Struthio camelus: one gene and its partners. The protein of the gene in region 1 purifies or fractionates together with the protein of each later gene. This does not show direct contact. Links are inferred from orthologs where the notes say so. Each region holds a gene or a part of one and is shown in the gene's direction. Other genes may lie near its edges. The genes, in order: STX7, VAMP3 and BET1.

Region 1 (3,745 bases):
AGACACATTAAAAATCACCTATGTCAGGGGCACCCTTTCTGAAAAGGGTAGATACTTCAGGCTTTTTAACTTCACCGAACTCTGTATTTTACTGGACTTCTTTATTAGTGTTACTAGATTATGATGTTATTAAGGTTTTCATTGTTCTGATTATTTCTAAACCTTAGCAATGACTGAGCTTTATGTCATAGCAGAAGTAAACTACCGTGCCTATGAGGCAGGTCAAGGCTTGGCAAATGAGTACACCTTCCAATGTCTGTAGCTCGTCTTTAGACAAAGCTGGGTTTTGCTGACAAGATTACTTTCCAGAGCAATCACATACCGTGCACTGCTTGCTCTGCTGTATTTAATGTACACGGGAGCGTCTTGTACACCAAGCAGGCCAGCCTGCAGCGCGCTGGAGAACATCTGACCCTGTAATTTTCCCTTCAAAAAGACAAGCAGGATCCAGAAGCATTCCCAGCTGCGATGCAAGAGGCCTAAAGGCTCATTTGTCCCTTTTTCTCAGGTAACTGGGTCAGGAGGGGAACGGATCCCCCATTTCCTGGCTCTGCTTCCTGGTACCACGTCTTCTGCTGCATTTGCAGTTATATACCATCAGTTACTACTGACACACTAAACTGACTGCTAACAAATGCGTGTATGTACCCTTCATTTTTCATTATTCTAAACATTTCTTGCCTTCTCTCTCAGCTAATTACTGATTACAGGCCTCTAAATAAATTTATCATTTTCCACCCACCTTCAGCCTCTAGAAGTGCCCACTTCCATTTAGAGATGAAGTGACCAGAACTGGAAGTCGTGCTTCAGCGAAGGATGCTATGGAAGTCAATGTAATGACATTGAATTCTTCATTGTTCCACCACTACCTCGTGCATAAATATATAAACTTCTGCTGCAACAGCATCTTTTCCTTAAATGACATTCTCACATAGGCAACTCTTTCACTCATGCACGATCACAGTGTGCTGACAAGCTGGCTAAAGTGCATACACATTTCCTTTTTTTCTTCTGCGTGCGCACTGCCTTGCACGCACCCTCGAAGGACTACCGCCTTTTCAAGCCTGAACCCATGCAGACAGCAAAAACAAAACCAAAACAACCCCCCCACACCCCCCCAACCCAGAAACCTCGGCCGGCAGGGTCGGCACGCAGCGGGGCACCAGCCCCCCAACAGCGCCCAAACCCACTCTCCCTTCACCCACTGGCGCCCCCGGCGGGGCCGGGGCCGGGGCCGGGGCGGGACGGGACGGGACGGCACGGGGCGGTGCCGCGCAGCGCCGCGCCGCGCTGTGCCGGGCGGCCAGGCCCCGGCCCCGGCCCGCCCCCTTCGCTGCCGCCCGCCCGCCGCGCCCGGGGGAGCAGGCGCGCCGGGGCCGGTGAGACCCGCGGCCGGGTGGGGAAGGGGCTGCGCGGCGCGGAGCGGGGCGGCGGCGGGGTGGGAGCCGCGGCGGCTGCCGGGCGGGCCTGGCGGCCGGGCCGGGCCGGGCCGGGCCGCCTCCCGGGCGGCAGCGGGGCGCGGGGCCGGCCGGGCTGCGGCCTGGCGGCGGCGGCGGCGGCGCGGGGCCCGGCGGGAGAGGGGCGGCCAGGAGCGCGGTGAGGGGCGGCGCGGCCCTGCCAGCGCCCCGGGGCGGGGGGGGGGGTAACGTTTGTGTCAGCTCTGGTGTGTCCAGGGGGGAAATGGGGCCTGAAGGCGGTATTTGGGACAGGGTATGGTGCGTTTTCACGTGTGTGGCCGGGGCTGGTTTTCCGTGGTGATGTTCAGCGTCGCCGTGTCAAAACATTCCCCGTGTTGTTTCAGACCTCAGATGAGCAAAACACGTCAGCGGAGGGAAGGAAGATTATAAAAGTCAGACGGATATTTAAATAGTGAGCTTGGGCCTGGCATTTTGGGCTTGTGGCACAGCGTTATCGCTGCTTTTCTCGTTGAGCGCCTTGCTGCCGCATGAGACGCAGACACTTGCAACTACAGGAGGAAGTGAAAGGTTTGGCTCTGCTCTGCATGAAGTGCAAAGCACTTAATGGTAAAACCTGGGAATACTTATGGCCGGGACTGAGGTGACCGCGTCTTCTCACCCTTTCCCCTGATAAACAAGCAGTGCCCAGCTGCAGAAATGTGCCGGCAGGGCGAGTGCTGTGCAGCTGCCTGGAGGATTCGTGACTAATAGTCATACCGTCATGTGTTTCGGCGGCACTGCAGTCCTGCTGTTTTAAGCTTTGGGATTTACGTGAGTGCTCTTAGCAAAAGGAAAGAAGAAAACAGAAGTTAAAACACGTTAAAACAGGGATGCTAAATGCTACGTTGAGGCATTGCCATAAACTGTATTTGTATATCCTGCATGACAATATCTTTTGTAACCTCATATGCAAATACTAAGTTACTCTTATGTTGGTGGCATAGGTGGAAGAGATGCTCTTTGCATACTCCTCATGGTCTTAATTTCTAAGTCATCGTCTTGGTGGGCCTTGGAGAGAATCAGCATCTAGCACAATCAAACCTTACGCAAAGATGATTTCTACATCAATATACTTAATCTGAGCCCTTGGTTAAAGGTGCACAAGCTCTCTTTAGGGAGGTTTGGATAAGAAAAGGTGTATTGCACTAGGTGTTCGGTGGCGTTGGTCTGTATTCGTTTTCTCGTAAGATGTTGTTAGCCTGGATCATAAGGAACGGGGCACTTTGAAAAAGCCATCTCCATTCCTCTTTCAGCCCAGCTGCTCCCTCTCCTTCGCTCCCCAATAGTTCCAGTATCCAGTGTGTGTTTTACTGTTCCAGCTTCGCTGTCAGGCCTCTAAACGCTCTGTGTTCTCTGGGGAACATAATTCCCCTTGTTAAGGTATTTCCTTGAGAACTAACGTGTTTTGTTGCACAGTCTGATAATTCTTATTTTTCATATTTAAAAAAAGAAATACTTCCAGCAATTACATAAAGTAAAACTTGGTTTTGGTGTGTTTCAGCCTAATTTTTGAGGCAAGGCTGGGAGAACTGGGCTTGCTTAGCCCGGAGAAAAGGGGATTTGACTAAACTCACTCCTGACTCCGGTTTGAGCAGGAGGTCAGGCTAGAGACCTCCTGAAGTCCCCCCCCCCGCCCCCAGCCTGTGTGATTCTGTCACTGTGGTAAATCAGAAATTGTTAGCAGTCTAGTTTAAAATCTACAAAAATTAAACACTTTCCGTTTTACTCTGACAATTAACTGGACAGCTGTAGACTTTGTCAGGGAAATCAAACCGTCCCCATATTGGTTGTAGACACAGCTTTGAAAAAGCATTTTACTGTATGTTGTATGTGACTGATTTGCGGGGTGCAACGTATGCAGTAACTTAGCAGAGTGAAATAGAAAAATACCGTCTGATGTCGTCTATGTCACTTACTGCATAAGAACAACGGAAGTTTTAAAGAGACTTTGTTGTTCCTCAGTACCCTGTGTGGATTTAAGTTTGACTTTGGCCTGAAGATAGATGATGGAAGTTAACATCCAGAGTCTTTAGTATTCCTTTTAAGTAGAAAGGGAAGAATACTCTTTATGCCTGTTCTGTTTGCATGTATATTACGCTCCATAGGTTTTCTGGTGTTGTGGAAGTGCCCAGAGTCCCTTTGTGGTCCAGGAATGCAGCATGTTAGGAACTGCAGAAGCACAAGGTGGAAAGTATGATCTCTTTTTTCCAAAATACTTCAGCCTAAGTATAAGGGGAGAAAAAAAAGTAAATGCATCCAGACGAAACTTGCCTCCCTCATCCCTGCTG
Region 2 (3,745 bases), on another chromosome or scaffold:
CGTGCAGCCTGCTCAGCAAGCTGGGTATGCCTGCTGAGGGCGGCCTGCCAATTACAGCAGCGTGTCTGCCACTGGGCTGGGGGAGGGGGGGGGAAACACTCATATTTGGGCCTCCCTGGTAGCATAACCACACAGTTCAGAGGGCTTTGAACAAGCAACACCCCCCGCCCCCGGCACAAATCCTCTCAGTCCCTGTATGGCGGGGTTACCTGCTTCACAGGCACAGCCCACATCGAGGCCTCTGCCGATGCCTGGTTCAAGCCCGCGTGCCCGCAGCCTGGCACCAGCCGCTCCCACCAGGCGTTGCACTCACGCAACACGCCCCGGCCACCCGCGGGCACTGCCGGGCTGGACCGGTGGGGAGAGCCGGAGCGGGCGGAGAAACCCCTGCGGCGCCTGACGCAGCGGCGAGCGCCGCCACAGCCGTTCCCGACCTCCCGCCCCGCCCTCGCCACCACCTCAGCGGCCCCGGCGCGCGACCCCCCCCCCTCCCCAACGGCCGCGAGGCGAGCCCGCCAACGGCCGCGGCGCGCGACCCCCCCCAACGGCCGCGAGGCGAGCCCAACGGCCGCGGCGCGCGACCCCCCCCCTCCCCAACGGCCGCGAGGCGAGCCCGCCAACGGCCGCGGCGCGCGACCCCCCCCAACGGCCGCGAGGCGAGCCCCCCCCCCCCCAACGGCCGCGAGGCGAGCCCGCCAACGGCCGCGGCGCGCGACCCCCCCCCAACGGCCGCGAGGCGAGCCCAACGGCCGCGGCGCGCGACCCCCCCCAACGGCCGCGAGGCGAGCCCCCCCCCCCAACGGCCGCGAGGCGAGCCCAACGGCCGCGGCGCGCGACCCCCCCCAACGGCCGCGAGGCGAGCCCGCCAACGGCCGCGGGGCGCGACCCCCCCCCTCCAACGGCCGCGAGGCGAGCCCGCCAACGGCCGCGGCGCGCGACCCCCCCCCCTCCAACGGCCGCGAGGCGAGCCCAACGGCCGCGGCGCGCGACCCTCCCCCTCCCCCTCCCCCTCCCCAACGGCCGCGAGGCGAGCCCGCCAACGGCCGCGGCGCGCGACCCCCCCCCTCCAACGGCCGCGAGGCGAGCCCAACGGTCGCGGCGCGCGACCCTCCCCCTCCCCAACGGCCGCGAGGCGAGCCCGCCAACGGCCGTGGCGCCCGACCCCCCCCCCGCCCCCCAACGGCCGCGGCACGCGCCGGCCGCCCCGCCCGCTCGGGGCTGTGGCCTAGGCAAGGCCCGCCCCGGCTCGTCACATCGCGAGGGCTGGCGGGGCTGCGCGCACTTCCTGCCGGGCGCGGTCGGACGTTTTCGGTGGGCGGCAGCTCGACCCCGGCGGCAGCATGTGAGTGTGGGCCGGGGTGGGCGGCGGGCCCGAGGTGGGGGGGGGAGCCCGCGGCCGGGGGAGCCGGGGCGGCGGGCGAGCGGCGCTGGGCGGGCCGTGCCGGGTCGGGCGGCGGCCGGAGCAGGCCGGACGGGCGGGCGGGGAGGGGCGGGGCGGGGCGGGGGGCTCGTGGGAGCGGCTGTGCCTGGAGCCGTGAGGGGCGCTGCGGTGGCTGAGAGCCGCGTAGTGTCGCTGGCCCAGGCACTGGGGCGTTCGTCTTCTGCTTAGGGTGGGCTATCCTGTCCTGGTTTCTTCAGGCCAGTCTGAAGGGGCTTCTGTCAAGTCTACCAAGGCGGTCTAGTCTTGGATTAGCAGTGAAAGAGTATAAAAGGGTGACCTCGCTGTCAAGGTGTAGGAGCAGTTCTGTTGTCATACATGTGGACTGCTCTTGAGCCCTGTCATAGGCTTCCTGGTTTGCTCCTTGTACAGGTACACCTTTGTTCCCTTTAAATGTAGATTTAGGTTAAAATGTATAAATATAGCTAATATTCAAATTCATCTTTCTTATATCAAGGTGCACTAAACAGTAGTGTGTCTGATGCAGAATGGATGAAAATACAGAAGAGCAAATTGAGTACAGCTAGTCCTAGAGACGGATAACAAAAAGACATTAAAGCCGCGAAGAGGGCATGGGGAATGTGTAGAGAGGATCTTGGTTCAGTTACAGAGATGCAAAGTGTTGCAGCTGGTAAAAGGAACTAGATTGCCTGACCTTAGGAATTAAAAGCTGACCGCAAGTAAATTGCTGTATGCTGAATGCTTTTTCCTCATTGTGCTTTCTCTGGCTCCATGCCAACTGTTTCAAACAAAACGGGTAAGCACTGGAAGAGCGTGTAGTTAGAATAACCATTAAGTTTCTGTATTTCATTTTTGGAAAGCTGCTGAGTCTTGAAGCTTAGTATTTGCATTCTTTCTGAAGAAAACACCCCTGAACCCAAGCTCTTGAATGTTTGAGCCCTATGAGCCATTGTAGAAGTCACTGTATGCCTTATTACAAGTTGCATTATTAGCCAGCCACAGCTGTCTTTTAGCACTTCAAGCAATTAATTCACTGGCAGGAGGTTTTAGGGCACAGCTTGATTTATACCCAAGGTCAGTGGTTAAAACCTCATTTCTCCCATGGGAAAGGAAACTGCCCCATATTTCTTCCAAGGATCCAAGGTCCCTGTTTTCAGGAACAGCAGATAATTTCTAAACTTAAGCTTATCAACTTGAAGAAAATTATAAAAAGTGATTATAAAATAATGATTGCTTTCCTTAATGCAGGTCAGCAAGCGGCCCTGGAAGCTCAAATGTTGCTGCTGGCAGTAATCGTCGTCTTCAACAAACACAACACCAAGTAGATGAGGTAAAGGTCTAGTCTGATAGCAGTGTAATTCTGTCTCTTTCAGAAAACCTGATAAGCAAAATAGATAAGCTTTGGCCGCAGCAGTTATTATTCCTTTATGTGAAAGGGAAGCCTAGTATAATTCAGCTTTCCTTATTATACTTGTATCACTTTGGGTCTTGAAAAGGTTTAAAACAAAAAACAAAAAAAAGGGGAGGGTGAGGGGTGGCAGCATGTCAAAAAACTTCCATTCTGCTGTTCTGCCGGAGTGGGGAGAAGTTGCCAGCGTCTAAAGGTTAGCTGCAAACTCTATGTCTGAGGATTGGGCGTAAGTTAAAATAGTACCCTTTGTTCTTACAGAGAACAAACTTTTCTTTCCTCGGTGGCAAAGGCAGCTGATCGTCTCCAAATAAGACATGCCCAAATTTCTGAGGAATCCAAAAGCCGTTAACGGTTAAGAGCAGCTTTATCTGCTTGAACAGGATAGCACTTAAAATGAATTGCATGTCAAAAATATTTTGTCAGTCATGGTAAAATGCCTCAACTCCTTCTGAAGTAGGTCGTAAATAATTTCCCAGGTTTCAGGGAATGCCAGCACAACTTAGAGAACTTTTCTGCAGTACTGACGTTTGAAAGTAGGTATTAGGAACTTCCAGCTGCATGTGAAATGCACATTTTCACTGAAGCTCGCGATTAGATTTCCTAAAAGGCAATTGCTCCTACTCCTTAGGAGAACATTAAAAATATCAAAAATATCAGGTATTGGGATCTGTTGTCTGCAATTAATCTCTCCAATGGGTGATACAGTTGATGTACTTACTGTAAGTGTTAAATTGATGTAGGTGGTTGACATCATGAGGGTGAATGTGGACAAGGTATTGGAACGAGATCAGAAGCTGTCAGAGTTGGATGACCGTGCTGATGCGCTGCAAGCAGGAGCTTCCCAGTTTGAGACCAGTGCAGCCAAACTGAAAAGAAAGTATTGGTGGAAGAACTGTAAGGTAACTGTGGCTTGAATACTTGAACTACTCAGTATT
Region 3 (3,745 bases), on another chromosome or scaffold:
CAGTGGTGGCAGCTTTCAAACTCATATAAGAATGGCTGAGTTTCAGATAAAATTCTATGGAGATTTGCCTCGTACTGCATAGTATGAATGGCAATTTTGCAGTTTGTTTCTTCTCCCTTGCCTTCTTCTCCATTTTCTACATACGCAAATAATGCTTTATTTGAAATTTTGGATAGACTGTTCAAAGTCATTAGCAAATATTACATAAACTTTAAGGCAGATTTCTACATTATATTCATTTTACTCTTCATAATGCTCTGAAACATGGGCATTCAGGTGTGACTGTGAAGAAAATAAATGAAGAACAGCTTGTCAAGGTTTGTTTTAAAGTTTGGCTGATACAAGACTAGTAGCTCAGTTCCAACTTTGACAAATAGAAAAAACCAGAAATGCTGCAATTATTCGGGTTTTACTCATGGCAAAAGGATACATGAGCTATCTTATAGCAATACAAAGGGTGTCAGCTGGGGAGCACAGGCTTTCATGTTGCCCAGTGTTACTCTGTTCTTCCTTCTACACCTTTACCCAGCTAGATAAAGGCTTGTTATATTGCAGACTCTTGGAAGCAGGACCTTTGGTCTGTGTTTATACAGCTTGTATGATACAAGTGGGTCTTAGTCCAGCACTGTGTCTCTCAGGCTCTACCAGAACACAAATCGCGAGGGAATTAAGGGGATGGTAGTTCGTTATAAATGGAGAAGCCAGTTTAGCTTCTTTAGTCCAGTGGATGCAGCACCAAAAATAGCAAACTAAATTGACTCCATGACGTTGTTTGCTTTACGCTTGAGGACTGATAAACCATTCTGGTTTCATCCTGGGAAATAAATTCAATACAATGGCATAAAGAATGAGTCACATCTTTAATAAAAAAGGAGATAAAACCAAGTTCTGACAAAGCATTACAAGAGGTTAAAGTGTATAGTGGAGAAGAAACTATCTTTGCAAATGAAATTTGAATCATTATGAGCACTGAAGAATCAATAATAATGAAATCTGGAGTTTTCCAGTTTGAGTTGCGGTATGCTGCGGTAGCTTGCCTGTTGCTTACAAAATAAACAGGCCAAAAGAGGGGTGGGCTCAACTCAGCCCTCCGTTTCCATTTTTTGACCGCATGCTACAACTAAAGACAATCATTGAGAATCCTTCCTTTTTCTAACAAAACAACAGGGTACTGATGACCTGTTAAAATGAAGGCTGAGAGGCTTTTATTTTTTCTTTCAGGATCAATTCTCAAAGTTTAACACAATCTTAAAGAAGTAATTTATTGCAGAAATTCATAATAAATGGTTATATTCAGTAGAGCTTGCTCCTTTTTTTTTTTTTTTTTTAAAGATACAGGAAAGTAACAACAGGAAAGCAGCGATGCACCTGCCATTTCCAAGGCCTGTTGGGAAAACACGCGGTGCCCCGAGACCCAGCAAAAGGCGGTGCCGGTCCAGGGCCGCAGAGCCCCTCGGGGTAACGCGCCCGCCAGAAGATGGCGGAAGAGCCACCCCTGGGCCTGGGGGAGGCCTGAGGCTCTGGGAGGGGGCGTCTCCGTCAGGGAGCGCGGCCCTAGCGCCGCCCGCCGCCCTCAGGCGCCAAGGGCCGGGCCGCGGCTGCCCTCAGCGGCGCTGCCGCCTCACCGCCCCCTCCCCCCCGAGAGAAACTACACTACCCAGAAAGCCCCGCGCGCGGCGGCCTGCGTTACCCAGCGGGCGGCGCGGCGGCGGAGCGATGTCGTGGCGCTGGCGGAGTGAATGAGCCGGGCAGCCGAGCGGGAGCCGGGCCGCAGCCGCCCCGCCGAGGTCCCCTACCCGCAGCCGCGGGAGTCGCTCCCCTCCCCCGGGCACGGCCATGAGGCGCGCGGGGCTGGGTAAGCGCCGGGTCGCGGCGGGCCCGTTCAGGCGCCTTGTGCTGCTCGGCGGTTACAGAGAGAGCGGGAAGCTCGGCGGGAGCGGGCCGGGGCCGGGCCGGGGGAGCGGGCGGTGGGTCCGTGCTCCGCAGCCGGCGGCGGTGCCCGCGGCTGGGCCGGCCGGGCAGCAGTCCCGCCCGCCGCCTTGGGGCCGCGCGGGCTCGGCCCGCCTCGCCGTGCCCCCGCCGTGGGGTGGCGGGTGTGTGGGGCGGACGGCTCGCGATCCGCCGGCGTGGGCCGGCCCGCTTCGCTTCCGAGTCAGCGTCGCTCGGGGAGCTGCGCTGGGATGTCCGGTTATTCTTGTTCCTGTGTTGTCTCGGGATGGTTCCAGTGCAGTGCCAGCTTGAGCCATTTTCCATGCATGGACGGATTTGTCCCTCTTCAGTCAAATCACTTCCAAATTTTCAGATGCTTTTTAAGTTTAATGCTTCTGTATGTTTTCTTGCTGTGTTTGGTGTGTGGGGGGGAACCCACTGTCATTTTACAGCAAACATAATCTGGTGGAAATGCAGAAGTCTGTGAGAGTTCCTGCCGAGTTTCGAGAAGCTCGAGGCCCATTTTTTGACCAGCCACGTCGATGCCAGTGAAAGAAACTTTGAACTCTTGTGCTATGTTGTAGGACCTCATAGGTGCTGTTACCTCGCTGCAAAACTTAGACAGTGTGGTGAAGTTCATGCCCCAGAAGTTTATGACCAAGTTCTGTTACTTCTTCCTAGAAAGAAATTTCTCTAAGTGAATGTTTGTTGGCTGATGAATTCTGCATAGTTAGACCTATAGTCTCGGTAATACTGCTCTAGACTTACTTCTCCACTTTTTTGTTTTGTTTTTAATAGTATATGTACAAGTTAAAATAAATCTTGGAAATGCAGAGGCTAGATTGAAAGTCAGCGAGCTCATTATGCTGTTTCTGAAAGTGTGAAATAACAGATGTCTGTGAAAAGAATACAAGAAGAAGAATGTGCTTTCTTCTAATGTCTCTGGCAATCAACGGCTTAGAGAGTAGCCATGAAGTACATCTTTAAAAAAAAAAAAAAAAAAAAAAAAGGAAGGTTAAGAAGAAACTTAAACATCTTTACGGCTGTTATCAGTTGCAGTAAAATTTGCTGGTAGCATGCAGGTTTATTAAATTTTGCCTTGTCATTTCAACAATCCATCTAGAATAATACATTTTTTTTTATTAGGCTGAAAATAGGAGCTTGGCAGTAGTACTTCTGCCGTTGTCTCCAGGTACCTCATGCCTTTTTTTGTCTCCAGTTATGCTATGGTCACGTCTATATTACGTGTCCTGTCAGGGCAGTAATGAGCCATGTTACAAGATGGTCTATGTAACTGCCATGCTGAAGCGTCTGCTCTTCTTTTAAACGTTAGTAGCCAGGTTTCTGTAGCATTTTCAATAGATATAAGTAGATGTGTCTATTTAAAAGCTTTTGGACAGTTGTTAAGAGATGTTTGGGACATCTCTTATGTCACAGTCTGTATAAGAATCATATAATTACAGTATTTTAGTCACAAGCTACATGGTTTATTAACTTATAAGCATATATTAAATCTTAAATCATTTGATAGGAAGTACTGTAGTTAGATGCCTTTGTAGAACAAGGACCGTGGACACACCCTTAACTCTAAAATGGTTCCTTTTTAGTCAACTTTCTGCACTTGGCATCAGTGTATTTGATTTTAAAAGCGAACAGCAACTCTCCTCTTGCTGTGTTGAAATAGAAACATGCATTTTTACCCAGTCTTGCTGAGGCTTTGTCATTGAATAAGCTTACAGAACAAAATAAAAAAAAAGTTTACAGGTGCAAACTAAAAAAATTCCATTACTTAGACTGAAAGAATGGCTTTATAGGT

What was found.
Region 2: the proteins of STX7 (region 1) and VAMP3 purify together in Homo sapiens (affinity purification with mass spectrometry; 3 studies listed by BioGRID and IntAct, counting the BioPlex papers as one, with this or other methods). This does not show direct contact. The link is inferred for Struthio camelus from reciprocal best matches to the Homo sapiens genes STX7 and VAMP3.
Region 3: the proteins of STX7 (region 1) and BET1 purify together in Homo sapiens (affinity purification with mass spectrometry; 3 studies listed by BioGRID and IntAct, with this or other methods). This does not show direct contact. The link is inferred for Struthio camelus from reciprocal best matches to the Homo sapiens genes STX7 and BET1.

The regions. Positions count from the first base shown.
Region 1 is NC_090944.1:71,940,226-71,943,970, reverse strand, and holds the start of STX7 (syntaxin-7), read left to right. Parts: upstream 1-1,274; 5' UTR 1,275-1,379; exon of another isoform or gene 1,380-1,396; intron 1,397-1,567; exon of another isoform or gene 1,568-1,596; intron 1,597-1,801; exon of another isoform or gene 1,802-1,945; coding exon of another isoform or gene 1,946-1,985; exon of another isoform or gene 1,986-2,058; intron 2,059-2,710; exon of another isoform or gene 2,711-2,837; intron 2,838-3,745. UniProt on the Homo sapiens protein: May be involved in protein trafficking from the plasma membrane to the early endosome (EE) as well as in homotypic fusion of endocytic organelles. Mediates the endocytic trafficking from early endosomes to late endosomes and lysosomes.
Region 2 is NC_090962.1:232,355-236,099, reverse strand, and holds the start of VAMP3 (vesicle-associated membrane protein 3), read left to right. Parts: upstream 1-1,210; 5' UTR 1,211-1,340; coding exon 1,341-1,342; intron 1,343-2,647; coding exon 2,648-2,729; intron 2,730-3,550; coding exon 3,551-3,709; intron 3,710-3,745. UniProt on the Homo sapiens protein: SNARE involved in vesicular transport from the late endosomes to the trans-Golgi network.
Region 3 is NC_090943.1:28,177,495-28,181,239, reverse strand, and holds the start of BET1 (BET1 homolog), read left to right. Parts: upstream 1-1,529; 5' UTR 1,530-1,836; coding exon 1,837-1,855; intron 1,856-3,745. UniProt on the Homo sapiens protein: Required for vesicular transport from the ER to the Golgi complex. Functions as a SNARE involved in the docking process of ER-derived vesicles with the cis-Golgi membrane.